Linked DNA regions of Stegostoma tigrinum. Each later gene encodes a partner of the first gene's protein in a complex. Links are inferred from orthologs where the notes say so. Each region holds a gene or a part of one and is shown in the gene's direction. Other genes may lie near its edges. The genes, in order: beta-klotho-like and fgf19.

Region 1 (15,991 bases):
CCTAATTGGAGAAGACAATTGATATTGAAGAAGACTGCAACAAACTGTAGGACAGCATTAGTAAACCTGCCAAATATGGCAATAATTGAAGAAGAAGTTCAACCCAGATTAAATGTAGAACATTAGATTTTACAGGAGGATCATCAACTTGGTCAAAGATACTCTTTAGTGGTCCCAAAAGATGCCAGTCTTTGATTGCAAAGAGGATGATTGGCACGTTCCAAGTCCCAAAACTATGTGCTGAGGGATGCACTGAAACATGGTGCAGCCAAAAGACAAAATAGGGAAAGATCACTGCCTCAGGCTCTCTTATCATAATATATTCAGGGACTGAAAACTGTATATAAGACCACTCAGGCTGAAGCACTAGAAAATATTTGTCTTAGAAAGTGGTGTACATTGCAAAGATGGTCTGTAATTGCAAGGGCATTGAGCCAGCCTGATGTCGTGTGTTGAAAGAAACTGAACTATATTTCACATTATGTAATTTCAATTAAAATGTCAAATTTTTAAAAATCACAATGTTGTAACCTGGCTCTGGACAAGATTCCCCAACTTATTAGGGTTCCCCAATTTATTGGGGTTCCAGATGGGATATCTCAAATAATGGAGCTCCGAGGTCAGGAGAGATGAAATTCTTTATTCACCCACTTCCTCAGTTGACCACTACAAGTTTAATTTACAAAAAGATCCCCTCCTTTGTGGATACCTTTCTCCCAGACCAAATTAAAGTATGCTTTAAAAGGAGCCAATTTACCCACGCTTTTTTTGAGTTAACAACAGAGTAAGATTATTAGTTACTAAAAAAACAAGACGCAATACTAACATAACAATGTCATGTTGAGACTGTACAGGACATTGGTGAGGCCACTTTTGAAATACTGTATGCAATTCTGGTCTCCCTACTACAGGGAGGATGTTGTGAAGCTTGAAAGGGCTCAGAAAAGATTTACAAGAATGTTGCCAGAGTTGCAAGGTTTGAGCTATAGGGAGAGACTGAATAGGCTGGGGCTATTTTTCCTGGCACATCAGAGGCTGAGGGGTGACTTGTAAAGGTTTTTAAAATCATGAGGGTCATAGACAGGGTAAATAGCCAAGGTGTTTTCCCGGGGGTGGAGGAGTCCAAAACTAGAGGGCATAGATTACATATGATGCTGGGAAAAGATTTAAAAGGGATCTAAGGGGCAATTTTTTCACACAGAGGGAGGTATGTGTATGGAATGAGCTGCTAGAGGAAGTAGTGGAGACTGGTACAATTACAGCATTTAAATGCATCTGGATGGGTACATGAATAGGAAGGGTTTAAGAGGGATATGGGCCAAACGCTGGCATGGGACTAGATTTATTTGGGACGTTTGATTGGCATGGATGACTTGGACCGAAGGTTCTGTTTCCGTGCTGTTCATCTATATGCTTCTATGACTCAGTACACACACACACACACACACACACACACACACACACACACACACACACACACACACACACACACACTCAGATCAGTCTCTGAGTTGTTCGTGCGAACATTGTGGCCGTTGCAGTGTTTGGTACAGACAGTGTTGACATTGCCAATCAATATAAGATAGTCACTAACTATTCCAATAGGGAACTTAGAGGAACCTTTATTATCTGAAAAATGATGAGAATACAGACCTTGCCAACACAGGGAGTATTTTAAATGATTGGTTTGGACACATTTCCAGGCAAGATAGAGAAGTAAAAGAGTGAAGTGAATAATGGTTACGATGATAATGCAGGAAAATGGCACTAGCTGAGCAGGCACCATGGTCAGCAGGTACCAGCTTGGGCCGATGGCACTGTTTCCATGCTGTATTACACTATGACGCATTTAAATAAGCAAAGATGAAAGAAGTTTGGAATGGAGCATGAATATCAGCATAGGCTATTTGGGCTGAATTACCTGTTTATACGTTGTATATGCTTATAATCCTTATTACCGATCCTTCTCACATCCCTTATTGTCAATTTTCTTTGTAGGCTTCATGTATGATGAGAAAGAAACTTTTAAAAAATAGGTCAAATGGGAATGGAGAAATACATTTAATTTGCTATATTTCTGTTCTGCCTGTGTTTGTTTCATATTTTGCCTCTTTTGAAATTGCATGACAATTTTTAGTAAGGTTTTTTTTTCTCAAAAATACAATTAATACTTTTTAAAATTGTAACAAACAAAAACATGTTATTTCAACCCAACAGTTAAAATTAGTCTGGTTGAAAACATTAAGTTTTCCACCTGATCAAAGCCAGCTATAATAGATTTGTAAAAGATTGGTCAGCCTTGCCAAATCTGATTAAATGATTTGAAGAAGTACCTCGGTATTTGTCAAGGAAATGCCTACAAATTTCCGGATGGCATTTGATAAAAATGCTCACAATAGATGGTCTTTGTGAATGGAGATACATTTTCTCCTTCACTATTTACTCCACTAGTTTCCTTACTATTGATGTTAGACTCACAGGTCTGTAGTTTCCTAGACTATCTCTACCGTCCTTCCTGTAAAGTGGAACAACATTGGTTCTTCTCCAGCCCTCTAGTACCTCCCATGCCCATAAACATTCGGGTCAGGGATCTCTTGTTTCCCATAGCAGCCTGGGCTACAGCTCATTCGGACCTGGGGATTTGTCTCTTTTTAAATCGACCAAAACTTCTACTTTCTCACTTCTGCTCAAGAATTCCACATTCCATCTTCTTAAAGTCTGTATTTGCATCCTCTTTCTCCAGAGTAAAGACAGATGTCAAGTACTCATTTAATAATTTATCAATGTCTTCCAGCTTCATGCATAGACTTACCCTTGGTCCCTAATAGGTCCTTACTCTTTCTCAGATTATTCTTTTCTCTTTGACATATTTGAAGAATATCTTGGGATTCTTCCTGATCTTGCCCTCCAACACTTTCTCATGCCCCCTCTTTGCTTTCTTGAGTTCCTCCTATACTTTCTATACTCCTCTGTGGCCTCTGTTGAATTTTTTTCCCTTGTACCTGTTATATATCTGTCTTTTCTTTTCATCTGGTCTTGAATATTCCTAGACATCCAGGCTTCCCTGGGCTTATTGTTCTTACATTACATTCTAAAAGGCACATGTTGAGCCTGTACTCTCCCTAGTATTTGAAAGCCTCCCACTGTTCTGCCATAGATTTATGTACAATCTGACATAAAAAAACTCTCCAATATATACTTCAAGAAATCTGTACCCTCTAAACCCTTTATACAATGATTATCCCAATTAATATTGGGTAGACCATAAGACATAGGAGTAAGTAAGGCCATTCGGCCCATCAAGTCCACTCCACCATTTAAATCATGGCTGATGGGCATTTCAACTATATTTCCCTGCACTCTCCCCGTAGCCCTTGATTCCTTCTGAGATCAAGAATTTGTCGATCTCTGCCTTGAAGGCATCCAACGTCCCGGCCTCCACTGCACTCCGTGGCGATGAATTCCACAAGCCCACCACTCTCTGGCTGAAGAAATGTTGTCTCATTTCAGTTTTAAATTTACCCCCTCTAATTTTAAGGCTGTGCCCACAAGTCCTAGTCTCCCCGCCTAACGGAAACAACTTCCTAGCGTCCACCCCTTCTAAACCATACATTATCTTGTAAGCTTCTATTAGATCTCCCCTCAACCTTCTAAACTCTAATGAGTACAATCCCAGGATCCTTAGCCGTTCATCATACGTTAAACCTATCATTCCAGGGATCATCCCTGTAAATCTCCGCTGGACACGCTCCAGGGCTAGTATGTCCTTCCTGAGGTGTGGGGCCCAAAATTGGACACAGTATTCTAAATGGGGCCTGACTAGAGCTTTATAAAGCCTCGGAAGCACATTGCTGCTTTTATATTCCAACCCTCTTGAGATAAACGACAACATTACATTCGCTTTCTTAATTACGGACTCTACCTGCAAGAATCCCTAATGACTTGATCGATTTTTTTAAACTATTATGAAAAATACATAGGGTAGGTTAAAAGAGATTGTTTCCACTATTTTGGAAGTCTAAAATGATTCAGTTTAAAAATTAGCCTCAGGCATTTCAAGAGTAAATAACTCCTTTATGCAACACTAGCAACGATTTGGAAATTTCTTCTGCAAAGACCGATTAATCTGGAATCAATTATTAATTTCAGAACTGAGATTAATAGAGTTTACTAATGAAAGGTGTTAAGGGATTCGGGAAAAGGCAAACATATGGAGTTAAATCAGAGGTCAGCCACGGCCTCACTGAATGATGGAAAAGGTTTGAGGATTGAAATGGCTAATACGTGTCTCTAAGTTGCGAACAGTGAGACTGGTACATTCATTTTCTGTCTGCTCCTTTCACAAATGCACAGAAACCTGCATTAACTCTCTGTTTCAGGAAGTTCACTTTATCTTAATAAAGATATTGAGAATTTTTTTTAGCTCCTACTAGGGTTAGAACATTAGCAATAATTGAGTTAGAGTGAGAGAGGCTAAAGAGGGAAACAGAAAAAGGAAGAAAAAAAGAGATACTACGTTGTGTAACTTATTGTGTCCAACTTCCTTAATTATTCACCCTCTAAGACATGAGAAAATTTGAAGAGATTAAACAAATCTTTTTTGTCTCAACATACAAATTGCCTTAAATATGACTGATTCACTTTACTTTTCTCTTTATATGAGTCGCATTGTATAAACGGAACATGCAGGGTTGTTAGTGGAGAGGAAGTGGTACATCTACACGTATGAATTAGGAGCAACAGAGGTCATTCAGCCCCTTAAGCCTGCCCTGTCCTTTGACAAAATCATGGCTGATCCGACTGTGGCAGAATTGTGGCACTATCCTGCCTACTCCCTCCACACTTTGTCAATGAAGAAGTGACATAATTCATCTTTTAAAATATTCAGTGACCTGCCTCTATGGCTTTCTGCTTGGAGTTCAGTCCAGGGTCAAATAGGAATAAGAATGTCCTGGGGCTGCTGAAGTGGATGGGAAGGGGATGGAGTTGGGGAGCTAACATGGGACAAAGTTTGTTTTGGAGGCCGAAGGTAACCTTCTCACAATATTGAGTTGGAGGAAGCTATCATTCAAGCAGGATTTCATTATACAGACCATTTGATTGGATGTTTCTAACTGAGGCCTCAAAATATAATGTGGAAAGAAAGAGCTAGATATGATTAGCAAACTCTTGCCTGCAGATGATACCACAGATGAAATTTCCAAATCCACTTTGAATACACTTGTTGATTTCTTTAGAGCATCAATTCCTTCCATGCCTCCTGGTCTCATAGACCATTTCATTCCTGTGTGCAAAATCTCTTTTAGTGTTCCCAAAACCCAGCATTCACTAAAATAGCAGAAATATTCCCAAATACCAAAACCTCAGGGCAGCATAGTGACTCAGGAGTTAGCACTGCTACCTAAGAGCAGAAGGGACCCAGTTTCAATTCCAGCCTCAAGCAACTGTCTGTGTGGAGTTTGCACATTCTCTCTGCGTCTGCGTGGGCTTCCTCCAGGTGTTCCACAGTCTAAAGATCATAGATTGTTGAATCCCTACAGTGTGGAAACAGGGCCTTTGGACCAACAAGTCCACACCAACCCTCAGAGCATTCCACCAATACCCTTTCCCCATGACCCACCTAATCTACACGTCTCTGAACACTACAGGCAATTCAGATAGCCAATCCATCTAGCCTGCACATCTTTGGGCCGTGGGAGGAAACTGGAGCACCTGCAGGAAACCCACACAGACATGGGGAGAACGTACAAACTCCACACAGACAGTCACCCAAGGGTGGAATCAAACCTGGGTTCCTGGCGATCAGAGGCAGCAATGCTAACCACTGAGCCAGCATGCTGCCCCAAGTGCCATTCTAATTCTGGATTGGCCATTCTAAAATACTCATATGCAAGCTAGGCGGGTTAGCCATGGGAAATGCAGGGTTACAGGGATAGTAGGGGAGTGAGTCTGGGTGGGATGCTCTTTGGGGAGTCGGTGTGGACTTGTTGGGCTGGACGGCCAATTTCCACACTGTAGGGATTCTACATACTCTATATACCTCCATCACCAAGCTTAGGATCTCAACGGAGTGAGACCCAACCAGCAAGTCCTCATCATAGACTCGGTAACAGTGTCCATCATTTCAAAGTAACCTGTAACCAATTCCTAGTATGCAAAAGAAAATCAAACCTTGTTCAACACAAGAGCTCTGAAAATGAGACACAAAAGTGGTTTTCCTCTACCACACTAGACCAAGCAGGCCATGTAGATTCCTAAACTTAAAGATGATGGTAGCATCAAGCGTATTACATGTCAAGGTGCCTTGGTTTGACTGTACACACAACTACCTTCTGGATTAACTGTCCATGTAGAAGACGTTGAAAATAGGAGCAGGAACAGGCCATCCAGCCCTTACAGCTCCACCTTTCAACATGACCATGGCTGATTGTCTAAGTGGGTACCCTGCTCCTGCCTTCTCCCCCACACGCTTTGATTCCTATTGCCCTAAAAACTATATCTGACTTCTTTTTGAATATCTCTGAAGAAGCATCTTTTAATCTCATATCAGTTGACTTCCAACTTCCTGTATGCCCGACATGAATGAGTGAATGCACAGAAACTCACTGGGTTGTGTTCTCAATTCCCGTTATTGTCATTATCCAGATCAAGTTGTTCACGGATGTTATTACAGACTTCTGGAGCAGGGCCTCCTGGCTCAGTGATAGGGACACTATCACTCGCCCACAAGAACCCTGAATTCCTGTCCTAAGCTTATAATCGGCACATTCCTATACCAAGAATACAAGTTTGCATTAAAGACTCAGTAGAGCAACATGTATAAGAGTCAAAAAGAGATCTCAGAGTCAAACAAAACAGATAAAAGGTCAAAGGGAAGAGAGACTTAAGATTAGTAAAGCAGAGTCAATAAACTAAAATATTTGGGATATGTGACCCTCAGGCCTGATCTCCATCACATCCACTGCATTCTGGTAACAGTTCAGATGACAGTTCAATGGAACCATTCAAAGGCAGACCATATACTCAGTGGAGGGGCGGGACGGTGGCTCCGGTGCCTCAGTGGTTGTCACTGCTGCCTCACAGTGCCAGGGATCTGGGTGCAATTCTGCCCTCGGGTGACTGTCTGTGTGGAGTGTGCACATTCTCCCCGTGTCTGCATGGGTTTCCTTCAGGTAGTCTAGTTTCTTCCCATAGTCAAAACAATGTGCTGGCTAGGTGGATTGGCCATGCTAAATTGCCCGGAGTGTTCAGGGATTGGTCTGCATGGGTTGCTGTGTGGGTCAGTGTGGACTTGTTGGGCCAAAGGGCCTGTTTCCACATAGGGATTCCATGATTCTATGCAGTTGGGAAATTGCAATTGGTCATTTCGGGGGAAAAGCATCCACCAGCTTCTCAAGCCACATCAGAAGGTTTAATCAATAAGTCAATTAATGTATAGCAATTTTCAGGACAAAGATGTCAAATTCTGGAGTTTCCGGCAGTGCCAAGCAGGCTTCCCAGCTGCAGACAATCCCATCCACCCCTAAGTCATTTAAGATTTTTTTCAATTACCCCAACAGGTTCAGTGTTAAAGGACACTGGCAGATACAATCCTGGTGGATCTGTCAGCACTGTAGCTTGTGCACTTTCAGAATCTACGGTGACAATCAAAGAGAGAGAACAAAATATCGAGAGCACAGAACAAAAAAGAATTGATAGCGAAGAAAAGCAGAGAAACAATACAGAAAGAGATTGCACTTTGTTTGCACAAAATGTTAAGGGAGATCAATTATTGTGGGTGTAGGGAAAGGCTTCAGTGATCATATACAATGTACTAACACGCTTATGATTTCACAAGCTTCACTATGGGGTTCCATTAAGTTGACAGCTCGGTAAATAAAAAGACACATACAAAACAATACATTGTTAATTGCTTACATTACATGAATAGGGTATGTTTTTATCCAGTGTTGTTGTATATCTTATAAATAATGAATTCTGACACGAACCTATCCAATGTGCTGTTTCAGCAGCAATGTTTAAACAGTCCATAGCTAGGCGTCCTGAAGAAGCTAATCATTGACAGAGATCAGATATAACCACACACTTAAACTAGCGCTTGGTTCACTTTTAATGGAATCGGACGTGTGTCAGTTTTGTTTTGAACAAAAATGAACTGAATCAGGTGTGTTTTGGAACCCAGGCACACAGGATGAGTGACTGTGGGCTAAAGACACTTTTCATAGCTCTCTTTTTTCTTTATACTGGAGCCAATGTTACTGTTCAAGGAGATCCAGGGGCAGGAAAAGTTGTCTGGGGAAACAAATCGAGTCACAACGATATGAGGAACGGTGAGCTTTTCTTGTACGACACCTTTCCTAGAAACTTCATGTGGGGTGTGGGAAGTTCTGCATTTCAAATCGAAGGAGGTTGGAAGAAGGATGGCAAAGGACCTTCTGTCTGGGACAACTTTACCCACACTGAATACGTCAGATTTAACAATGCAACTGCAGATACTTCCAGTGACAGCTACACATTCTTCAATGAGGACTTGACGGCTCTCAAAAGCCTGGGAGTCACTTTTTATCTGTTCTCAATCTCCTGGCCCAGGCTATTTCCAAATGGATTGAAGGACTCTATCAATACCAAGGGTCTTCAGTACTACGACACGCTTATCAACTCCTTGTTAGAGAGAAAAATAACTCCCATTGTCACTCTCTACCACTGGGACCTGCCTTTGGCATTGCAAGAGCAGCACGGAGGCTGGAGCAGCAAGGCTATGATACAAATATTTAATGAATATGCTAAGTTCTGCTTTCAGGCATTTGGGGATCGTGTTAAGTTTTGGATCACAATTTACAATCCTTTCCTAATTGCCTGGCATGGATACAAAACTGGGAAATATCCCCCTGGATGGAAGGAGAAATCTGCAGCAATGTACACTGTAGGGCACAATTTGATTAAGGTAAACAAAATTGACATTTACTTTGTCATTTTTCCGATTAAATATTTTGGAAATTTTCTGAATTGCGCACAATGAAAGACATGCTATTGAAATTACTAGAGCACTGATTTTCAGAAATTTTAATCTGTTAATGAATCATTAATAATGGAGAATTGCATTCTTTCTCTTCCTTTTATAACGAAAACAGAAAGTGCTAGAGTTATTCAGCACATCTGTGGAGAGAGAGAAAGAAAATAAACATTTTGGATCAAATATGATATTCCTTCAGAGCACCGTGCAATTTCCAAATCCGTAGTATTCTTGTTTTTATTCTCCTGCTTTACACTGAAAAAATATTTTATCCCGGATGACAATTACATACTTTTTCACTTGCAGTCCACCTTTAATGTCCTCAGTCCACTTCAAGTGTGTCACTATTTTTCTCACATTTTTATTTTGTAAAGCAAACATGTATTTATTTCTTACTTTAATGGTGTTGCACGAATTCAAGGGGTTTCTCAACTCAAAGATTGAAATTGCTTATTCTGACTCACCTCTCTCAGCCTTTCATGATGGATAAGATGGGTCACTATATAAATACGAGTTATCCTTTGCAGGATGCCCTGACTCCAGATGAACATTAGTATTATGTAAAACGTTTCAAGATTTGTCTTGCGTAACTTCTAAGTTAAATAAGAAATGTTAATTAAATCGTTCATTATATAAAATTTAATTTCCAGATCTATCAATATTTATTTTACTGAAATTACTAAAAGCAGTCTACAGGGTCTGACAGGATTCTAAAGTGTTTCAAAACTGACTAAATTACAGCATGTGTGTCCAACCTTTGTTAAATTATACCTCATTCAGTTACTTAGCCTGGAATCTGTCTGGTGAGGAACACTAGTTGTGTAATATGAATTTTCTTTATTCTTTTGTGGGATGAGGTATCACAGCCTAGGCCAGCATTTATTGCTTATCCATATTTGCCCAGAGGATAATTAAGAATCAACTATATTGCTGTGGGTAGGCCAGACCAGGTATGCATGGCAGATTTCCTCCCCTGAAGGGCATTAGTGGACCAGATTCATTTCTTTTTACAACAATTGACAGTGGCTACATAATTGTCATTAGGCTCATTTTTAAACCTTGATCAAATTTCACCATCAGCCATGGCAGGATTTGAACCCATGTCCCCAGGACAAGACTCTGTATTATGAGTCCAGTGACCATCACCATTAGCCCAACCCCTCCCCAATGTCCCACTTACCAAATACATACCTTGGAGTAGCCAGGGAATAGTTACTACAAATTTGGAATGGGGCTTCTTTACACAGCACAACTGTGCATTCGATAACTCAATGGAAGTCGGTATCCCTCACCACGTCAACTTTTATTTACATATATGTAATACATGACACTGACCCAGCTAGCACACAGCCAGCTCCTAGAGTCAACAGTATCCCTGAGACTCCTGTTTATATCGTCAGCCAGGGTTCCCTGATTGAACCAGCTTAATAGCCCCAATCAGGGTACTGATATTCTATGAGATCCACTTGGGTAATCCTTTTACAATCACTATGTCCCTCCTCCTTTAAGTCCTGGACAAAGGCCTGTTCTTTTTCCTGTAACTTTTCCTGGGCCATTTTCCCACCAGGTCCAGTTCCTCCGATTGTACCTTGGAGACTCTCACCATGTACTAGACCATGGCCAGCCTCTTGCTCCTGGAGCATCTCAGAAGAAATTCATCTTTGTGTTCAGGTGGTAATGGTGTCAAGGCTCCATCTTGTCCTCAGAGGTTTCTTCAATGCTAGGTGGAGGAGAGAACCCAGAGGTTCTCATATTCTGCCAGATATTCTGAGGGGCTGGGAATGTTTTACCCTGATTCGTTTGCAAGGTTGCAGCTTTCATGTGGCCCATGTGCTTGTTCAGGACTTCCTCTCTGACCTGAACTTTGTACATCACATGACCTGACCTCATGTCAACCATGTCTCTTACCCATGCAGAGCCATTCCTGCTGTTTTAACACCAAACTTTGTCTCCTGAAGTAAATTGCCTCTCTCACTTAGAGGAATCCTGTGTATGGCATTGGTTTTCCTGATGCCATTTCACCACCCTCCACCCCACCAAAGTTGGGGAAGATCATTTTTAACCAAGTGGGGAGTCATCTTCCCATTGGCATCTCTACTGGAGCTGTCCCTGTAGTCGCGTGAGGGGTAAACAGGAACCGGGACAGTTTGGTACCAAGTGAACATGTAGACTGTTTCTTTAAGACTGCCTTCAAAGTTTGAACTGATCTTTCTGCCAGACCATTGAATGATGGATGATACGGAGCTGTCCTTACACACCAGATGCCATTGGACTTTAGGAAATACTCAAATTCCCGGCTGGTAAATGATCGCTTGTTGTCTGTACCCAACACCTCCGGGATTCTGTGTGTTGCAAAAGATGCTTGCAACTTTTCAATCGTCATCCGGTGTTTGACGAATGAATTTTGTACCCGTCCAACCCACTTTGAATGGGTTGAATGGCCTCCCAGGACACGTTCCAACATGTAACTGTACACACTCAGAATAAGAGCCCACTACTGAATTCAACCTGATTCTACGGGCGTCATGGCCCTGTTCGCTTTAAGTAGCCCTAACAAGGGTTTGTAGTCTGTCATTATTACAAATTTCTGTTCGCAATCGTATTGGTGAAACTTTCTCACATCAAAGACGACCCCCAAACCTTCCTTCTCTATCTGGGCCTATCTTTGTTCGGCATCAGCCAAAGTCCGGGAAGCATACGCTATTGGGCATTCCTCTTCGCTGGGCCATCGGTGAGCCACCACTGTCCCAATACCATACGGGGAGCATTGTGTGTCAGCTTGGGATCATAGTATACCAAAACTTTAGACAACGATAGCTGCTTCTTCATTTCCCTAAAAGCTACATCTTGGCCTCGAGACTATTTCCAAGGCTGATCCTTCTTCAATAGCAAATGTAACAGTGCCAGGACGGAGGCCATGTTAAGTATAAATTTTCCATAATAATTCATCAACCCCCTGCCTTAGAGAAACTTTTAAGCACTATGTCCAAGTTCTCTAAATGCTCTTTATTGGTCTTCCCAGTTTTTTGCATGTCATCCAGATAAATGGCACTTGGGGTGGACCTTGTAAAATGTTCTCCATCATCCCCTCGAAAATGATGCAGGCTGATGATACCCCAAAAAGCAGTCTCATATACCAGTACAAATCCTCATGGGTATTAATTGTAGCAGACAGCGTATAAGATTAACCTGGCTGGCCGCATTCCAATCACGACATGGCAGACTGGATATTTCCTATTTGAAAGTACTTTCATAATGGGTTATACAGAGGGTTTACTCTGGTCCTTTGATTTTGCAGCAGCATAATAATGAGCTGGAGGAGTGGGGACTCCTGTTCATTTTAAACTGCATCTTTTTCCTGGTATTTTCTTCCCACATTATCTGGGGTACAATTGTTGAGATGTGAAATAGGAGGAGCTTCCAATCACCAATCTCTGAGCCCTTCAAAAGTCCCAAACAGAAACTGACCACAATAGTAACTTATATCATTTTAAAATTTACAGAAATTTTCATTCCACATTTTAAGTTTTAAAAAAATCTAAAAGGTTGCTGCATCCATACAAACTTAAGTTTAGCTTATTGTTATTAATTACCGCTTAATATTTCCCATACGTCCAAAACAAAACTGTGTTACTCTGTGTTAATCATGTTTTCTCTTTCTTTATCTGCTCCTTTCCCCCTCAAAACTGTTGCATAACTTTTATCAATGGTTGAGAACTTTGCACAAGTGACACTCACCCTATAACCTTCCACAATATATCTTGTCTTGCTCGCTTCTCTGTAAAGCATTCCAGCTGCCAAGACAATTAACGTCTCCATTAAATAACAATTAAGGGACATAGAGAATGAGTACATGAGAGAATAAGTCCCAGTACAAGCCATCAATCATGTCAGGAGCAATGGTTCTTGGAATAGATAACAAAGTCTCACATGGACCACATATAATCCAAATTATAATTTGAACATTTATATACCAAGGAGAATTGTATGAAAGATGATAGGTATGAAAGTCCATAGTTATTCCTTGGGAGACCAACAAAACTACCACAAAATTTCACATCCCAAGTGCCTGGGTTATAACTTCTCCAAGTCAGTTGATAAAAAAAATTCTGCTGAATATGGAAATGAGCCATTAGACAAATTTCTGAAGGCGGTGTTATCAAAGGACATTAAGGAGAGAAATTATAGGAGATGATTGATGGCTCTGCACAGTTATGAACGCAGTTTTGAGCAGTTCGTGAGAAAGGTTGCCCAAAGGAACAATTTTAAAAGGATGAAAAAATTTGCCTTGATCACACTTCAGGGAATGCCAAAATGCTTTTAATCCAATGGGTTTTTGTTCTAAAGTGCAGCCATGTAATTTTGAAAGCATAAACAGGAAGTCAATATTCACATGGGAAGGTCTCATAAACAGTAAACCGAATGGGGAAAACTCCAAATACCAGAAACCCTAAATAAACGGAAATAACTGGAGACACACAGGGGCAGCCAATTCCTGCACAGCAAATAAAACAGATTATGACGGTTCAGGTACACAATTTCGGTGAATCGCCAACATTTTCTCTATTTGTCCCATAGGTGAGAGAAATGACGATTTAAACTGTTTTGTTTAGGGGTAATAGCTGTGGAAGAGTATAGTGAAATAGGACTGAACCTGCACAGCTTCACCAAGAGGAATCTGTTAGAATTCTTTGAGGAGGTAATGAGCCAGTTAGACAAAAGAGAGCAAGTGGACATGATCTATCTGGATTTCCAGAATGCTTGTGACAAGATACCGCACAGGAGGCTGTCAAATAACAAGTGTTGGGAGTGAAGTTCTGACAAGAATAGAGGATACAAATTTTTGGATCATTGTGGGATCTCTTCTGGGACAGATGTGACCACTACACAATTGGATGGGTTGCAGCTGAACTGGAGGGACCAATATTCTGGTGGGCAGATTTGCCACAGCTACCCAGCAGGGTTTAAACTAGTTTGCAAGGGGGTAGGACTCTAAGCAGTAGTGAGACGAGAGAATGTTGAGGCTGGTACAGAAACTTAGGACAGTAAATCAAGCAGACAAGACAGGCATGAGCACAGCAGAGAACAAGGAAAGGCTGATGAATTAAACTGCATTTATTTCAATGAATTTGTTTGGGGTGGCATGGTGATTAGCACTGCTGCCTCACACCACCAAGCACCCATATTCACCTCCAGCCTTGGATGACTGTCTGTGTGCAGTTTCCACGTGGGTTTTTTCTGCGTGCTCTGGTTTCCTCCCAGAATCCAAAGATGTGCAGGTTAGGTGAATTGGCTAGGTTAAATTGCCCATAGTGTGCAAGGATGCATAGGCTAGGTGGATAAGCTATGGGAAATGCAGGGATGCAGTAGATGGGTGAGTCTGCGTGAGATACTCTTTAGAGAGTTGGTATGGACTTGTTGGGCAGAATGGCCTGTTTCTACTCCATTGGGATTCAATGATCTATTTCTGCAATCACTTGTTTTAACATAATACAATGCAGACTATCAGGTCCAGGGATCTTGCTAGTGCGTAATTCCCTAAGTTTGCCTAGTATGTTTTCTTGAGCAACATTTAAGTTCCTCTCTCCACTCTCCCTTTTAGTCCTGATTTTCTATGATTAAGATGCATTTTCCCGTTGACAGGCTTAGTAGTGGAGTTTAGCATTCTATACTCATGGTTTAGCCAAACAGACAAAGAATAATCTATCTTCATTTATTGACAAAGCCAGGTGGGCATGAAGGTTGTAAGCAGAACACTAAGACCCTGCAAAGAGGTTCAGTGAATGGGCAGCAAGGTGGCAGATGGAGTGTGGAAATGTTAGGTTATTCATTTCTTAAGAACAGAAAAACATTTTTTTTTTAATTGTAAAACTGGTAAATGTTGGTGTTCTGAGAGACTCAGTTGTCCTTGTGCAGGTAAAATAAAAGTTAGCTTGCAGATACTGGAAGCAGAGTCGAAGGCAAATGACCTGTTCACCTCTAAAGCAAGGGGAATAGAATACATTTCAGAACAATGATGCAGATAAAATAATGATATTAAATCGGGCCAGTGCACGATGAAGAGAGAACAACCAGGTGCTAATGTTCCTACAATATTGCTGCTTATGCTCTACTGAATGTCAGAGGCCACACGAGAAGGGGATACTGTTGAAGTAACCTTGATGACTTACTTGTTGCAGTTCATCCTGTGGATTGTACTTACTGCAAACAGACTGAACTGATAGTGGAAATTAAGTCCAGTTGAAGTGGCACTTGTCAATCAAATTGTTTGATTGATGGCAACGAGCCACATATCACAGAGTAGCCATGTTGCCGTTATGATTGATCTAGAACGTTTATGGTTGAGGATTTAGTTATGATTGTGCTTGTACTGAAGGGGGGAACTGTAGTGGAAGGTAAAATGGAGCTGCCTATAAAATGTAAGGTAAATGTAATCTTGATCATTTTCTGCAGGCATTAGGTTAAAGTTAAAACCATCTTCCTCCCAAGGCTGCAATTTCTGATCCTGTTCATAGTCCATGTGGCCAAACAGTTCCAATCAATTTACCTGGAGCTATACCCACCACTACCTCCTAAGCACTTCTAACCAAATTGACTCAGTACTACATTATCTGATACATGAAAGTCCTGCTACCTGTTGTTTAAACAATATTTTGAACTTAAATATATTCCCACCATCACATTGAGGGAGACGCCAATATCCTCAACTTACATGGTGCTGGCAAAACACTGCCATAAATGAATGGAAGGCACAAATGTTTTTGCTCAAAATCGAAACAGAGGAACACACACAGGAATAGTTGCTATTATGCTGGGAGTTCACATGCAGTCTGCTTCATCTAACCTTTTACTTTGCATTCCCATGACAAGCAATAATCTTGCAGTAAATGCTGGGAGGGGAAGGAGTTATGCAAATAAACCTACATATTTCTGTTGTATGCAACTGCAGATACTTTCATGTTCCACTAAAGTGAACTG
Region 2 (15,795 bases), on another chromosome or scaffold:
TTAATGCTGTGTAACCTTTCTTTCAAACACTCTTTAATTGATCAATAATGACTCTTTAGCTAGTCAATCTGATTAGGGATCAATGAAAATCTCAACATTTTCATTATGTTTGACTGAATGTCTATTTGATTGTATATTATACTAAAACTTGTCAAGTTGAATCACCTCTAGATGCCTCGCCAGTGACAAATTCATACAACAGACCATTACCCGCTGGTGCTCGACCCCAGGCCGCTGATAGTGTGTTATCTTTGATAGTGTGTTAACAAGCATTTGTGCAGGTGGCTCCAGTGGAGGATTGATGTGTATGGGGACACTGATCACAAACCCGTTGCCCTTTTCTGTTGTGAAACTCCCAGGAAAACACACAAAAAAAACACAATTGCCTGTCCAGCTGTCAATAGCTTCACATCAGAGATGTCGTCCCATCCACAGTAATTTCCATAAAAGTGGGATGATGTTTGCGTTTAATGAAAGCTATGGGTTGTACAAAAGGTTAATTGGGAGCACTGCGACTCTTTAGGCAGTGGCCTGAATGGCAATTTGCTGTGACCTAATGAAGAGTTCAAAAGAGTTAAATACTTCGATCTAAATTTCAAGTCTAAGCAACATGTCATTGGAACTTTGTCCATAATCCATCAACATTCATAAAAGAAATGCTTAAAAATGTAAATATGATAAATCCACTCAAAGTTCATATTAATTTTATATTTATGTTGCTCTATTATTCACCTGGCTAACCATGATCTTAATTACATTTAAAGATTAGACTATTCAGGCCATCAGTGACCTTGCTCATTGTCATAGATTTATTTGTTTGCATTTATTCATTGCATAAGGGCATTACTGGCTAAGGCAGCATTCAAGAAGGAGCTCACCATCACCTTCTCAATCTATCAATCAATAAATAAACAAACAAACAAATAAATGCAGGGCAAGGCAGGGATGCCCTATTCCCCTGTATGAATTACTAAAGCTGCTGTTGCAGCAACAATATTTATATAGCTGACCCAACTCAGTTTCTGATCATTGCTAACCCCAGGATTTTGAGTGTGGAGAATTCAGTGATGACAATAATTGAATATCAAGGGGTGCTGACTAAAGGTAAATGTTACTAGCCAGTTATCATGGATATCCGTGATAATGGGAACTGCAGATGCTGGAGAATCCAAGACAATAAAATGTGAGGCTGGATGAACACAGCAGGCCCAGCAGAATCTCAGGAGCACAAAAGCTGACATTTCGGGCCTGGACCCTTCATCTGATGAAGGGTCCAGGCCCGAAACGTCAGCTTTTGTGCTCCTGAGATGCTGCTGGGCCTGCTGTGTTCATCCAGCCTCACATTTTATTACCATGGATATCCTCCAGGTTTCACTGCATTTGGCAAAAGGCTACTTCAGTATCAAAGGAATGGTGAAGGATGCAAAACTTGGTGCAATCAGTGAATGTCCCCATTGCTAGTTCAGTGACAATACCACTGACACTTCCTGACACATCCGGGGTGATGATAGTGTCGTCTGGGATATTGTCTGTAAAGCATGATTCTGTGAATATAGCTATGTCAGGCTCTTCCTTAGCTTGTCTGTGGGACAACTGGAATACTGTTTTCAGTTCTGTTCTGTCGGCTATAGGAAAGATATTGTTAAATTTGAAAGGGTTCAGAAAAGATTTACAAAGATATTTCCAGGACTGGAGGGTTTGAGCTATAGGGAGAGGCAGAATAAAGGGGGGCTATTTTCCTGGAGCATCAGAAGCTGAGGGGGCAACCTTATAGAAGTTTATAAAATAGTGAGGGGCATGAAAAGGGTAAATACTCAATGTATTTTACCCAGGCTAGGGAAGTCCAAAACCAGAGGGCATAAGTTTAAGGTGAAAAGGGAAAGATTTAACATGGACCTGAGGGGTAACTTTTTCACACAGATGTAGGTGAGTGTATGGAATGAGCTGCCAGAGGAATTGGTGGAGGCCGGTACAGTTACAAGATTTAAAAGACATCTGAATGGGTACAGAACAAAGAAGGATTTAGAGGGATATGGGCCAAATGCTGGCAAATGGGACTAAATGAATTGAGGATATCTGGTTGGCATAGCTGAGTTGGACCAAAGGGTCAGTTTCTGTGCTGTACATCTCTATGACTATATAATTCTATAACTCTTCCAATTGTGGTACGATACCATGGGTGTTGATAAGGAGGAAGTTTCAGTGTCAACAGGGCTGAGTTTGCCATTCTCATTTCCAGTGGCTACTTCGATGTTGCCTGTTTCTAATCACTCCAAAATAAAGATTGGCATGAAATAATTTAAAATGCATTTAAATGAAACCATTACACGTAAATTTCAAATTATACACTAGCCACACCAAGTGCAGAAATGGCAGATCCACTTCTCTGAAGAACTGTATTTGGCCAGTCAGTATTTTAAAACAATCCAATAAGGTTTATAGCTCATTTTGAAGAATTTGCTCGCAACAACTGCAAGTGTGAAGAAAGCAACCAAAAAGAAAATCTGTCCAAATGTTTTTGTACTTTACCCAAGCGATTACACTTCAAAATATATGATTTACCATAAGTTTGGGATGTCTTAAAGTTCCAAAGGGCACTATATAATTGCAAGTTGTTTTTAGTTGCAGTAGATTTCTAATCAATGTAAAATGGGATAGGAAATGATGTTAGCTTCTGGTTTGTTCTATTTGAAATATAGAACATAAAACACAGAACAGTACAGCATGGTACAGGCCCTTTGGCCCACAATGTTGTGCCGAACTTTTACCCTAAACCTAAGGTCTATCTAACCTCCACCCCTACCTTATACTATCATCCATATGTCTATGTAACAGCTGCATAAATGGCCCTAATGAGGTCGACTGCACTACCCTCTCCGGCAATGCATTCCATGCCCGACCACTCTCTGAGTAGAGAACCTACTTCTGACGTCTCCCCTATATCTACCTCTACTCACTTTAAAACTATGCCCCCTTGTAATAGCTACCTCCATCCAAGGGAAAGGTCTCTGGCTGTCCACTCTGTCTATACCTCTGATAATTTTGCACACATCTATCAAGTCTAAATTTTGCTTCAAATGTAAATACTTCCTAAACAGATTGGGAAATATAATATTACATGCTCAAGTTTCATGCAGCTACTTGTTCAATTGAAGCAGAATTGAATTCTTCAGTCACTTGCTCAGCTGTGAGGGAATGTCACCTGGTCTGTGGAAATTTGAAGCTATTGCAAATGCTGCAGATCCTTCAAATATGCAGGAATTCCTTAGAATGTTAGAACTCATCACATACTTTTGTTATTCCATTTCTGGAGAGTTCACTGCATCATCAGCCCCACAACCGCCCTTGCTACTAGTACCCACACCCCCTCCCCTCCACCCATACACAATCTGAGAAAAATAATCAGGAGCACTGGACTAAACCACACACAAAGGCTATATTGCAGATAAAAAGTAGTTGTCAGCAAGTTACATGACCATTTAATTTGACCCTGAGAATATCACTCAGTCATGGGTATAAATCTGGTTAGCTTGGGTGCAATTCTCTTGCAGAAAGACAAGGGAGGTAACTGATAAATCATTGCAATGGCAAGAAGATTCAGAATTTTTTTTTTGAGCAATGTTATTCACAAAACGAGTGGAGGCTAGCAGTTCAAGAAGCATCTCATCACCTTCTTGTCAAGGGCAATGAGAGGCAGCAATAAATATTGGCCTAGCCAGGGCAAGTCCAGAAGTGAATTTAAAAAGTGACAAAATCATTTTCAATGTATGGAAATGGGGTTTGAAATAATACCCAACAATAAGAGATTGCTCAACATTCTACACACAAACCAGCCAGTCGTAGAGTTTTGGACACTGAAGCTACGAAAGGTCAATTTCCATGTGTTTCACAGCATCTGTTAACAACAGTCAGCCTTAGTAGTCATGAAGGAGTGTGCCAAATAGCAACTTAACTTCAAAAATCTAAATGATGTGTCAATGTCACTAAAATTACCTGACTTCAAAGTGATAACAACAAAAAAGACAGCATTACAACTATGCGTGATGACTATGGAATGATAAAACTGGAAAGACCTGACTGAGATGTGTTTACAAACAAACTTTCTTACAATCAACAAGGTCTTGCACAATGTCCAAATTGAGCTCACCATTACAGCCAGATCTGATCTCATGTAACACACATTGTCATTTTGTGTTCATCGAGGGAATGTGTTGTCATTAAAACCATGAAAGTTACCAGGTAATTGCCAAAAACAAACTACTCATTAAAGAAATGGTATGGTTCCCACAAACTGACCTCAAGGTAGAGTAATTTTAAAGACAATCAGTGTTTACTATGCAAAGCATCCACAATGCCAAATTTTTGTGGTCCTCTGAAGATTCCTACATATTTAATAGTGTAACTGGTGAAGTTGACTGTATGCAATATACTTCAGTTCATTGTTGAAGACAAACCATTGAAATGTACAATGTCAAACATTTACAAATGACAGTGATGTAATGTGCTGAGAATTGTATGGTGCATTCTATTCACTTAAGACAACCATGCTCAAGTACCAACAGAGGCAGTCCCAATCTGGAATACTGTTTTTTTCCCACAGTGCCCGTGTTGTGTGCGTGTAAGTGCAGGGACTCAGTGAAGATACCATGTACAAAAGACTTTGTTCAATATTTCCATCACCAGGAAAACACCCATATGGCCAGGGAACCAGTAGCAAGCAAACACCAAGCAGTACTTAGGTGAAGAAATTGAAGGGGAGGGTAGGGATTAAATCAAAATAGAGCCAAATGGGGAAATAAACCACTCTATCCCCTGTGGTGCCCTCCTTTTCCTAAAGGCATCAAAATCTATGGTGGACACGTGCTCAGTTTCCAAGGAGACACCATGGAAAATGGACAGGCAGTCAGCTGAAATAACCCCCTCCACAGCCCACTGCATGGATCTGTTCAATGCCAGCCTGGCCAAGCCCCAGAACAGTCCTACGAGGAGATCGCCCTAACTGCCTGCACCCCTTCCCATGAGTGCCCAAAGGTCAGGAGCGTGGGGTTGAACTGCAACCAAAAGCATACCAAAAGGCTCTTTAAGTAACTGAAAAGGGAGTGCAAATGCTCATAACCAATATGCACACGGTCCACGGACTCTACAATACTGCAGAGCAAGCAATTAGGCAGTGAACCACTGCAATCTGCAGTTACAAGGGACTGCTACATGCAGCACCCTCCACCCCACATCCCCAAGGGAAAGAGCGAGGGCCCCCTCATAGACACCTGACCCAGAATGCTGTTATGGACAGTATTCCAGCATTTGACACTGAAGGAATGGTGTTATATTTCCCAACTCAGGATAGTGAGTGGCTTGGAAGGGAACTTGTGGGTGATGGCTTCCCCATGTATCTACTGACCTTGTCCTTCTGTGTGGAAGTGGTTGTCACTCTCAAAGGTGCAGTCTAAAGAGAGTTAATGAATTTCTGTAGAGCAACTGGTAGATGGTACACACTGCTGCTGCTGAACATCACTGGTGGAGAGAGTGGATGTTTGTGGATTTGGTGCCAATCAAGTTGGCTGCTTTGTCCTGGACGGTGTCAAACTCCTTGAGTGTTGTTGAAGCTGCACTCATCCAGGACAGTATTTCATTGCACTTCTGACTTATGCCTTCTAAATGGTCAACAGGCTTTGGAGAGTCATGAAGTGAGTTACTCAATGCAGGATTCCTAGCCTCTGACCTGCTATTGAAGCCACAGCATTTCTATGGCTGGCCCAGTTGAGTTTCTGGTCAATAGTAACCCCCAGGATGCTGACAGTGGGTGATTCAGTGATGGTAACACCATTAAATGCCAAAGGGGTACATTCACTTCAAAGTGTTTTTATCTCATTCTTTAATTTGTCCTTTCCATGTGGGAGTAAGATTATGTAAGTGCTGCTGGCCTCAGAAGTAAGGCTAAGCTATGAACGTTAAAATGCATTGTTGGCTCAAAGGGTGGCTTAGTGGTTAGCACCACTGCCTCACAGCACCAGGGGCCTGCGTTTGATTCCACCCTCTGGTGACTGTCCCTGTGTCGGTGTGGGTTTCCTCTGGGTGCACAGGTTTCCTCCCACACTCCAAAGATATGCAGGTTTGGTAGATTCTTGACAATCAGTCAAATTCAAGATGAGATTGAATGGTGGATTATTGAAAAGGCAGATGTAAACAGAGTGGCTAAATGTGATTAAACTGCTTTGCTTGTTTGGAAGTTATCTCTGAAAAGGACTACTTGACCAGGAAGACCTGTTTCTGCCTTGTAACTGCAATGACATTTCTATGTGCTAAGGTTCAAATGTGAAGTGTGGCCACATGCACCCCAGGATGACAACACTTGGATAGACTTGTATACCAGAAGAATGAAGGGGAGCAAAAATGGAGAAAAAACATTTTTTTAAAAAGAGTGGAAGTGAAATTTATGACGGTGCAAAATATTTGCAAGTGCTCTGAGCCGTTACTTAATTAAAACTATTTAAAATTAACTATTTATTATGCATCCTAAGCAGGATGTCCTAAATTTCAATGAATTCTGCCCCAATTATCAATAAATTCTTCTGAAACCAGGAGTAGTTGGGGATTTAAAGGGGATTTGTCTATGATAGGGAGCTGCCTGAAGGGAAGATAGCCTGAGATAGATAAGGAATGATAGTCTGCAACAGTCTTCAAAAGAGTGAATCTGTTTGGACAGAGAAATAGCAACTGATCCTGGGCTGACCAGGTTTTCAAAGAGTGAACAAAACCTCGGCAGAGCAGGAGGAGGCCAGTTGATGGATGGTTGAGGCAGGAACTCAGGAGGGAATCCGAGGGAGCAAATACTGAGGCAAACGGGAGACAGGTTTTGGAGACAGATGCACAGAATGGTCAAGCGGAAGGGGAAAAAAAATCAATGGCACGGAATGAACAAGATGGTCTGTGTAAACAGAGAAGGGTGCCAGCAAGATAAAAGAGGCTCCAACAAAGAGGCAGAGACAGAGAAAATCAAAACAAAGAGGCAGAAAAGCAAAGACCAAAAATCAAAGAGAAACACAGAAGAATCAAAGGCAACTGAAAGACAGCGAAAATGAAACAAAAAGTGAGCTCTGGCCATTTAATATGACTGGCTTTTCTTTGTATTGCTAGTGTTCACTAGTGTGGGTTTCTTTTTGTAAGCGCACAATTTGCGAAAAAGCCTTTGTTTGGAGCGTGCCTTTAATGCCCTGATGCTCTCTGGTTGAGGGTCCAGGGAACAATCAAACTTACAAGGAATGGATCCCCCCAGAGATGAGAAGTACCATGGAAAAGAAATCCGGTCCCTGTCTAACAACGTTGCTGCATGTGCCAGGAGAGATGCAAAGCAGATCGTTGCCTCTTAACCTCTTTCATCTTTTCGCACCATCTCAGGGGTTTTGTTAGCACCGGCCGGATCGTTGCCTCGGAGCTGTCTGTGATGCGAGAGTGCCCTCAGCCGGCTTTAGCTGGCAAATCCCACTGAGACTAAGAATTCCTCCTAAACATAACCCCACAACATTTTCCTGCAAAGCAAGACACCCTTCTAAGTTCTCGGCCGGAGCTAGGATCGTCCTGAACAATACAGGAGCCGAAACAATGGAAAATTTTGGGTTTCCTTCCCGCTGATGTATTTGCCTGAAAAGCTCTGTTTTCTTCCGGTGCACAGACTCAAATCCTCATTAAATACTGACTTCCCCAAAGACCGGTTCATCACCGCTTCCTAATTCCGTGAGGTGTGTTTCCCGCAATGATCTGACCATGCAGGGTCTCTGTTAGAGTGGGGGCCATTCCCAGGGCAGCCTAGTTTCAGAATCGCACTGAATGACAATGTTATAAAGCTGGGGCACTGTTAAACACACACACACACAGATGGTTAAACACGCTCACAGAGAGATACACGCACACAGACACACACAGATACACAAATATAGACATTTACAGACACACACACACACATACACGCATACACACACAGGCACACACACCGACACACAGACACACACACCGACACACACAGACACACACATGCATACTCACACAGAGTCACACGCACTGACATACACACACAAACACCCATGCACACACGCAGACACACACATGCAGATACACACACACACGCACACAGTGTTCAAGGTTGGGATATCCCTGAGCTTCTGTGATGCAAGACACGAGTGGGCGGGCATTTTAAAAGAAATACTATTATGACCGAGTTTCAAATAATTCTTTTGGGAGCAGGCGTATCGATGTTGCTGATAAGCAATGATCCCTTTAAAAGGCTGCGCCCCTAGGTCTGTCTGATCAGAGACACACACAGAGAGAGGAGAACCTGCCTGAATCTCTCTTTGCCTACATCAATGTCTACTGTCTGGGGTTTCCCGGAGCTAGCCCATCGCCGGCTAGCCCGCTACAGGACGGGGCGAACGGCCAGCTGGCTCCTGCTCCTAACCCAGCTGAGCCTGGTTTGGGGGTCGGCAGCACAGCCGCTCGCATCCCCGGACTCGGGCCCACACTTAGACTCGGGCTGGGAGCAGACGATCCGCTTTCTGTACCTGTACACCGAGCACAGCAAGGGAGGCGCCAGCAGCTGGCATTTACAGATTAACCAGGACGGCACAGTGGGCGGCAGCGGGGAGCGGAGCCTATACAGTGAGTCTGCAGCTTGCTTCATCCTCTCCCACCCTCACTTTACTCATTCATTCTGTTTCACACGTTCACTTTCATACATTCTCATTCGTTCACAGTCATTCATTATCGCTCACACACATTCACTCGCACACACACTTTCACAATCATTCATCCACACAATTTCACGCTCACTCATTCACACACACGCAGTTATTCACGGTCATTGTCGCTCACTCATTTACTCTCACTCTCGATCACCTACTCACTTGTTCACACACAGTCATTCACTTTCTCACACTCACTGTACCTCATGGGGCTCACTTAGTGGGGGTAGGGGGAGAGGGCTGTGTTACTGAATTAAGTCAAAGATCTGCAGATGCTAGAGCTCTCAAACAAATAGAAAAACAGAATGTGCTCGTGAAACTCTGCAGATCTGGCAGCATCTGAGGAGGGAGAAACAATGCGGATTCAGTGAGTGACCCTTCTTCTGAAGCAATGGATCCGAAACATTCACCCAGCTCCTGTCTGTCCAGCTGCCGGGCGCGCCGAGATTCTCCAGCAGTTGCGTGTTTGAGTGTATGTGTTCCTCACTGAGTCCCAGACTTATCAGAGAGAGGGGGAGAATAAATTCCCACCTGATTGGGAACTGGCTTCAGCAAACCGGGGTGGAGTTTGGGAGCGAATTTAATGTTCGCCAGACCAACGTAAAGTTTTGGTTTTATTAAACATCAGTCACCGAGTTCGTTTCTGCCATTGATTCAAGGGTGAGAGTCCCTCAGGAGGCCTTTCGTGGCGGAGTGAGGGAACTGAGTGCTGCGGGACTGATCTCCAGGCATCTCTGTCCAACTCCCCCCCTTCCCCTAATACATAGAAATATAGAAAATAGGTGCAGGTGGAGGCCATTCGGCCCCTCTAGCCTGTTTACACCCCCCGACCCCATTTCCTTTGATCCCTTTAGCCCTGAGAATTATCTACAAACCCTTCCGGAAACATTCACTGTTTTGATCCCAGTTGTGTTCTGTGGCAGAGAATTCCCGCAGGGTGACCGTCGGTCCACTATTTCTCAAAGAGGGGCCCCCGCAGTGAGCGAGGTGCGTGTTTCCACAGGCCAGGGGAGAACTGCATGTGGCAGTGAGTTTCACCAAGCCCTGTAACTCTTCCCTAGCAGGCAGAGGCTCCTCTCCCTCAGCGCTGTGCTCTGAACGTTGGACCTGCTTTGTTTAAAAAGTCATATCATAGTCTATTCCAGACCTGGCCCGGGTTTGAACGTCCCGCTGACCCCGTGCTGTTTCCCTTGCAGGTCTCCTGGAGATGAGGGCGGTAGCCCCGGGCGTAGTGGCCATCAAAGGCTACCTGAGCGGCCGCTACCTGTGCATGGAGAGGGACGGCAGGCTACTCGGATCGGTAAGTCCTCACCCGGAAGCCCCAGCACTTTCCGGGATTCGCCCACAGTGCACTGGGAGAGGGAGAGGTCGGCTCTCGTGTGTGTGTGTGGATGAGCCTTTGGAGACTGCTTGTGTGTGTGTGTGTGTGTGTGTATACGTGTGGATGGGTCTGTGGGGGGTTTGTGTGTGTGTGTGCGGATGGGTCTGTGGGGGGTTTGTGTGTGTGTGTATATATATATATGTGTGTGTGGATGGGTCTGTGGGGGGTTTGTGTGTGTGTGTGTGGATGGGTCTGTGGGGTGTTTGTATGTGTGTGTGTGTGTGTGTGTGTGTGTGTGTGTGGATGGGTCTCTGGGGGTTTGTGTGTGTGTGTGTGTGTGTGGATGGGTCTGTGGGGGGTTTGTGTGTGTGTGTATTGTGTGGATGGGTCTGTGGGGGGTTTGTGTGTGTGTGGATGGGTCTGTGGGGGGTTTGTGTGTGTGTGTGTTAGTGTGTGTGTGTGGATGGGTCTGTGGGGGGTTTGTGTGTGTGTGTGTGTGGATGGGTCTGTGGGGGATTTGTGTGTGTGTGTGTGGATGGGTCTGTGGGGGGTTTGTGTGTGTGTGTGTGTGTGTGTGTGTGTGGGTGGATGGGTCTGTGGGGGGTTTGTGTGTGTGTGTGTGTGGATGGGTCTGTGGGCGGTTTGTGTATGTGTGTGGGTGGATGGGTCTGTGGGGTGTTTGTGTGTGTGTGTGTGTGTGGATGGGTCTGAGGGGGTTTGTGTGTGTGTGTGTGGATGGGTCTGTGGGGGGTTTGTGTGTGTGTGTGTGTGTGTGTGTGTGTGTGTGTGTGTGTGTGGATGGGTCTGTGGGGGGTTTGTGTGTGTGTGTGTGTGTGTGTGTGGATGGGTCTGTGGGGGGTTTTTGTGTGTGTGTGGATGGGTCTGTGGGGTGTGTGTGTGCGCGTGGATGGGGCTATGGGTGTGTGTGTGTATGTGTGTGTTTGTGGATGGGGCTGTGCATCTGTGGGTGTATGTGGGCTCTATGTGTGAGTGTGTTTGGATGAGTCTGTGCATGTGGAGACCTATGTGGCGGGGTTCTGTGTTTGGGTGTGGGCTGTGTTTGAGTGTGAGTCTGTATGTGTGAGTCTAATGTGTGTCTGATAATATGGGTCCGTGTGCATCTGTGTCTGTGGCTATGTTTGTGTGGGTGAGCGTGGGTCTGTGTTTGTGTGTGTTGGGGTATGGTGAGTGCATGTGCGTGTGTTATGAGAAATGTGTGAAGCCTGGGTCTAAACTGGATGGAGTTGAAAAGGATGAGAGGGGGATCTAATTGAAACTTACAGAATACTGAATAGCATGGACAGAGTGGATGTTGGAACATGTTTCCATTGGTAGGAGAGACTGGGACCCGAGGGCACAGCCTTAGAGTAAAGGGAAGACCTTTTAGAACCGAGATAAGAAGAAACTTCTTCAGCCAGAGAGTGGTGAATCTATGGAATTCACTGCCACAGAAGGCTGTGGAGGCCAGGTCATTGAGTATATTTACTACAGAGACAGATAAGCTCTTGACTGTCAATGGAATCAAGGTCAAGCGGAGAAAGCAGGAAAATGGGATTCAGAAACTTATCATAATTGAATGGTGGAGCAAACTCAATGAGCTGAAGGGCCTAATTTCTCTTCCTATCTCTTATGGTTGTAAGGCTTATGTGACTGTGTGTGAGGGGATGTGATGAGTGTGTGCTTGTATGGGTGTGTGTGGGTGCAGGGAAGTGGTGAGTGGGAATCTGGGAGTGTGTGTGGGGTTGTGGTGAGTGGGAGTGTGTGTATATGCGAGTGTGTGTGTGTATTTGGGAGTGTGTGTGGAGGTGTGGTGAGTGGGAGTGTGTGTATATGCGAGTGTGTGTGTGTATTTGGGAGTGTGTGTGGAGGTGTGGTGAGTGGGAGTCGGTCTGGGAGTGTGTGTGGGGATGTGGTGAGTGGGACTGTGTGTATGTGTGAGCGTGTATGGGGATGTGGTGAGTGGGAGTATGTTTGGATGTGGGGTGGGCAGTTGTGATCAGTGGGAGTGAGTCTGGGAGTGTGTGTGGGGATGTGGAGAGTGGGAGTGTGTGTGTTGGGGGGAGTGTGTGAATGTATGTGTCTGGGAGTGTACGTGTGGTGTGGTGAGTGGGAGTGTGTGTGTGTGGATGTGGTGAGTGGGAGTGGGTCTGGGAGTGTGTGAGGGGTTGTGGTGAGTGGGAGTGGATCTGGGAATGTGTGTGGGGTTATGGTGAGTGGGAGTGTGTGTATATGCGAATGTGTGTGGGGTTGTGGTGAGTGGGAGTGGATCTGGGAATGTGTGTGGGGTTGTGCTGAGTGGGAGTGTGTTTGGGAGTGTGTGTGTGTGGTGAGTGGGAGTGTATGTGCTAGAGAGAGCATGTGTGTATATGTGTCTGGGAGTGTATGTGGGGGTGTGGTGAGTGGGAGTGTGTGTGTGTTCGGGGTGGAGTGTGTGTGTATGGTAGTGTGTTGTTGCCGCTTTAACAGTAATTTCACCAGTTGCCTTATTCTCTGGAGTAGTTCCCTTGTGTTGGCCGCTGGTCTGTTGTGGGGTTAGTTTATATGTCCCAGAGTTCAGTGACCTGTAGATCCACACTTGTAGCCCCGGGCGCCAGTATTGTCAGCTGTCAGCACGAAGAAGCATGGAACCACATTAGCTAATCACTCTTCTTTTTTATTACCACCATTCCCCTCTCCCTCCCACCTGACCTTTTGTTTTTATCACTCATCCAGCTGACCTACAATGAAGCTGACTGCTCATTTAAGGAGCGCTTGTTGTCTGGCACCTACAATTTGTATTGGTCGGAAAAGTACGGAGCTGCTGTGTCCCTGAGCAACAGGAGGCAGCGAGGCCACACAAGAGGCAGAGCATTCCCTCCCTTGTCTCAGTTCCTGCCCATCCGCAACACACAGCCTCTCCCCCAAGTCCCTGGGGACCAGTCCAGGGACACTCCTGAACTTGACTCACTGCCGTCTTCAGTGATTCAGGTCAACAGCATGGACCCCCTGGACTTCACGTACGAAGCCACATGAACTGGGTGTATTTCAGACCCATGACTGCACTGCACTTTTCCTTTGGACTGAATTGCTTTGTCCTCAGTTGTCCTGCTGTGTTGAAGAGGTGACAGACAGTGTTTGATTGTGAGGACTCTCTTCGTCACTCTCGAGATTAAAAAGAAACAGTTTGAGTGTCACCTTGAATGAATTGATTCTTATTATAAATATGTAACTGCGAAGCAGGTGAATTATTGACTGATTGTAGATAGAGCAACATTAGAGGCAATGTTATAGACTTGTGTAAAATGCAACTCCACTGAGAGAACGGATGCAGAGCATAGGAACCCTGATGTATTATAGAAAATAGAAGGTTCAGGGTAAAACCAGATGAAACATGGAGAAAGTAGCATTAACCTTATTGTAAGATTTAGGATACAAGGTAAATAGTATAAATCCCCATTCTATTGAGAATAGAGGGATCTGTGTATATCCTTATCATGAGATGCAGGACAAAAGAAACTAAGTAGGAAGAACAATTATAGGTTCAGTTGAACAGGAAGGGTTTAGAGGGACATGAGCCAAATGCTGGTAAATGGGACTAGATTAATTTAGGATATCTGGTCAGCGTGGATGAGTTGGACCAAAGGGCCTGTTTTGATTTTTCCATCTCTATGACTCTTGTCTCCTATATGAGAGGATAGAATGCAGTTTAAACTATCTTTATTTAAGAAAGAAGTTTGGAGATAGAGATTTGAATTACACCTGAGGAGCTAGGGTCCAGTTAAAACCTTTATAGGAAGAGGATTTGGAAGCAAAATTTAACATTTTTCAACTAATTGCTGAGCTCGATTTAAATTGTGTCCTGCTTGAGTTGATGAAGAAGACAATTTATGCGCTATCAGCTCATTAAGATGAGGCTTCTGGGGGCTGATATTCAGGATGAAATGTACAACTCCAGTGCACCATTGGAAGAGAGGGTTCCAAATGTTACAGATCTGGTCCCATTACTAGGACAATCACAAAATAACTCTCGAAACAAAAAAAGTTCATAAACTGGAACTGTAGTACCAAATATGCATCAAGTATTTGTTGTTGCAAAATGTACAAGTTTGTCCTGTTGAATTTGAAGGAGTTTAGCATGAAGGAAGTTGATTGCAAATTCACATAAACAAGCACTTGACCAATTTGAAGGTATTTATAATTAACTTATTGCATACAGTGGTTCCTTCTATTTTGCTATTATATTTATGTACATATATTTATACAATTTTCCACTTTTTTGTAATTCAGTTCAAATGAACCCGTGTTCATAGAAAGCTAATTTTTTTCTGTTTGAATGATTAATGAATTAAAGCAAACAAATTATTTGAAGGTAAATGTTAAGGCTTGAATGGTATGTAATTAATTGACCATTTTAGTAGGCAAAATATAGCTGGTGTCAACAGATGAAATAAATCTGCCAGGTTTTCATAGTTTTTATTTTGTACCTCAAATTGTGAATAAACAATAAGAAATTATTCATGTCTTTGTGAATTAAAATAAAATGTATCTAAAATTTCATAACAATTTATCTGCATTTCTTTACTTATATTATTTTTAAAAGAGTGGCTACTGTTCATTCTACTTAAAGGACACACTACTGGAGTTCATCAAACCATTAGCTTCTCAAAAGCACCAATCATTAAAATACCAACAAAGCAGATAGATCAGGGCAACATCATTTACTAAGCTCTTTAGGTCAAATACCACCCTGACTTGGCAATATATCACTATCCCTTCACTGTTATTGAGTTCAAATCCTGCAAATTCCTCCCCAACAGCACTGTGGGAGTCATGTTTCTGAGGTGGGCCCTTGAGCTTGAGAACAACCTGCATCCATACCTCTTCCAGTTGGTTCAGAAATAGCTAACAGGCTGGATGTGCAATGTGTCAGCTCTGCCATGAGTCAGGCACATAATACTCGAAGTCATTGTTGTTTTGGAGGTTTGGGCATTCTGTCTGAGCCTCAACTTAACCTCTGCATGCTTCTGATGAAGTCTCATGCTGTGTTCAGTATCTTCCTGAATGAGATCATAAGGTGTAAAAGCAGAAGTAGGCCATTCTGCCTATCAGATCCATTCTGTGATTCAGTAGAATCATGGCTGATCTGATCATTCTCGACATTACTTTCCTCCCTTTTCCCCATAACCCTTGACTCCATTACTGATGAAAACCTGTCTCTCTCAGCCTTTAATATACTTTATGGCCCAACCTCTACACTCCTCTGTGGTAAATAATTCCATCGATTCACTAAGCTCTGAGAGAGGAAGGTTCTCCTCATCTCTCTCTTGAAAGGATGACCCCTACTCTGAGATTATACCCTTGCGTCCTAGATTCTCCCACAAGGAAACCCAACTTTACCCGTGTCATTCGAGAATGATGTGTCCCAATCAATGGAGCTGCTTTCAAGTCAATGTCTCAATGCTGACTCTGTTGGCTCATGAGAGGATGCTGCTGTTGGAAGATCTTTCTTGCCAAGGCTTGTGGGATATCTCCAATGTTGCCTACTGTAGATTGTCCATGTCTCTAAAAGCTATTAGAAGATCTTCATTGCACCAAGCAATAGTGGATCGAAACAGTTACCAGCTTTTTCTCAGAGATAATCATGGATTGCTTGTTTAGCAATGTTTATATCCAAAACTATCAAGATAAAATTATGCAGACTGTGCAGGACAGAAACGTGTCATCCAGCCCTAGCAGTTTATCAATCCTTATGTCCTGTGC

What was found.
Region 2: the proteins of beta-klotho-like (region 1) and fgf19 are in contact, whole or in part, in a crystal structure (PDB 6NFJ), measured with the Homo sapiens proteins. The link is inferred for Stegostoma tigrinum from reciprocal best matches to the Homo sapiens genes KLB and FGF19. Residues at the interface, in NP_783864.1 of Homo sapiens: Phe379, Lys380, Val392, Leu394, Trp419, Phe420, Thr421, Asp422, Val425, Thr431, Tyr434, Met435, Asn438, Tyr643, Glu693, Arg696, His743, Asn824, Phe826, Met832, Gln848, Phe849, Leu850, Gln851, Ile853, Leu862, Phe931, Phe942; in NP_005108.1 of Homo sapiens: Leu192, Thr194, Asp195, Ser196, Met197, Pro199, Phe200, Leu202, Val203, Thr204, Ser211, Pro212, Ser213.

What each region holds. Positions count from the first base shown.
Region 1 is NC_081354.1:98,357,200-98,373,190, forward strand, and holds the start of beta-klotho-like, read left to right. Parts: upstream 1-8,102; 5' UTR 8,103-8,191; coding exon 8,192-8,944; intron 8,945-15,991.
Region 2 is NC_081370.1:61,787,926-61,803,720, reverse strand, and holds fgf19 (fibroblast growth factor 19), read left to right. Parts: upstream 1-8,246; 5' UTR 8,247-8,360; coding exon 8,361-8,652; intron 8,653-9,931; coding exon 9,932-10,035; intron 10,036-12,768; coding exon 12,769-13,068; 3' UTR 13,069-14,514; downstream 14,515-15,795. UniProt on the Homo sapiens protein: Involved in the suppression of bile acid biosynthesis through down-regulation of CYP7A1 expression, following positive regulation of the JNK and ERK1/2 cascades. Stimulates glucose uptake in adipocytes. Activity requires the presence of KLB and FGFR4.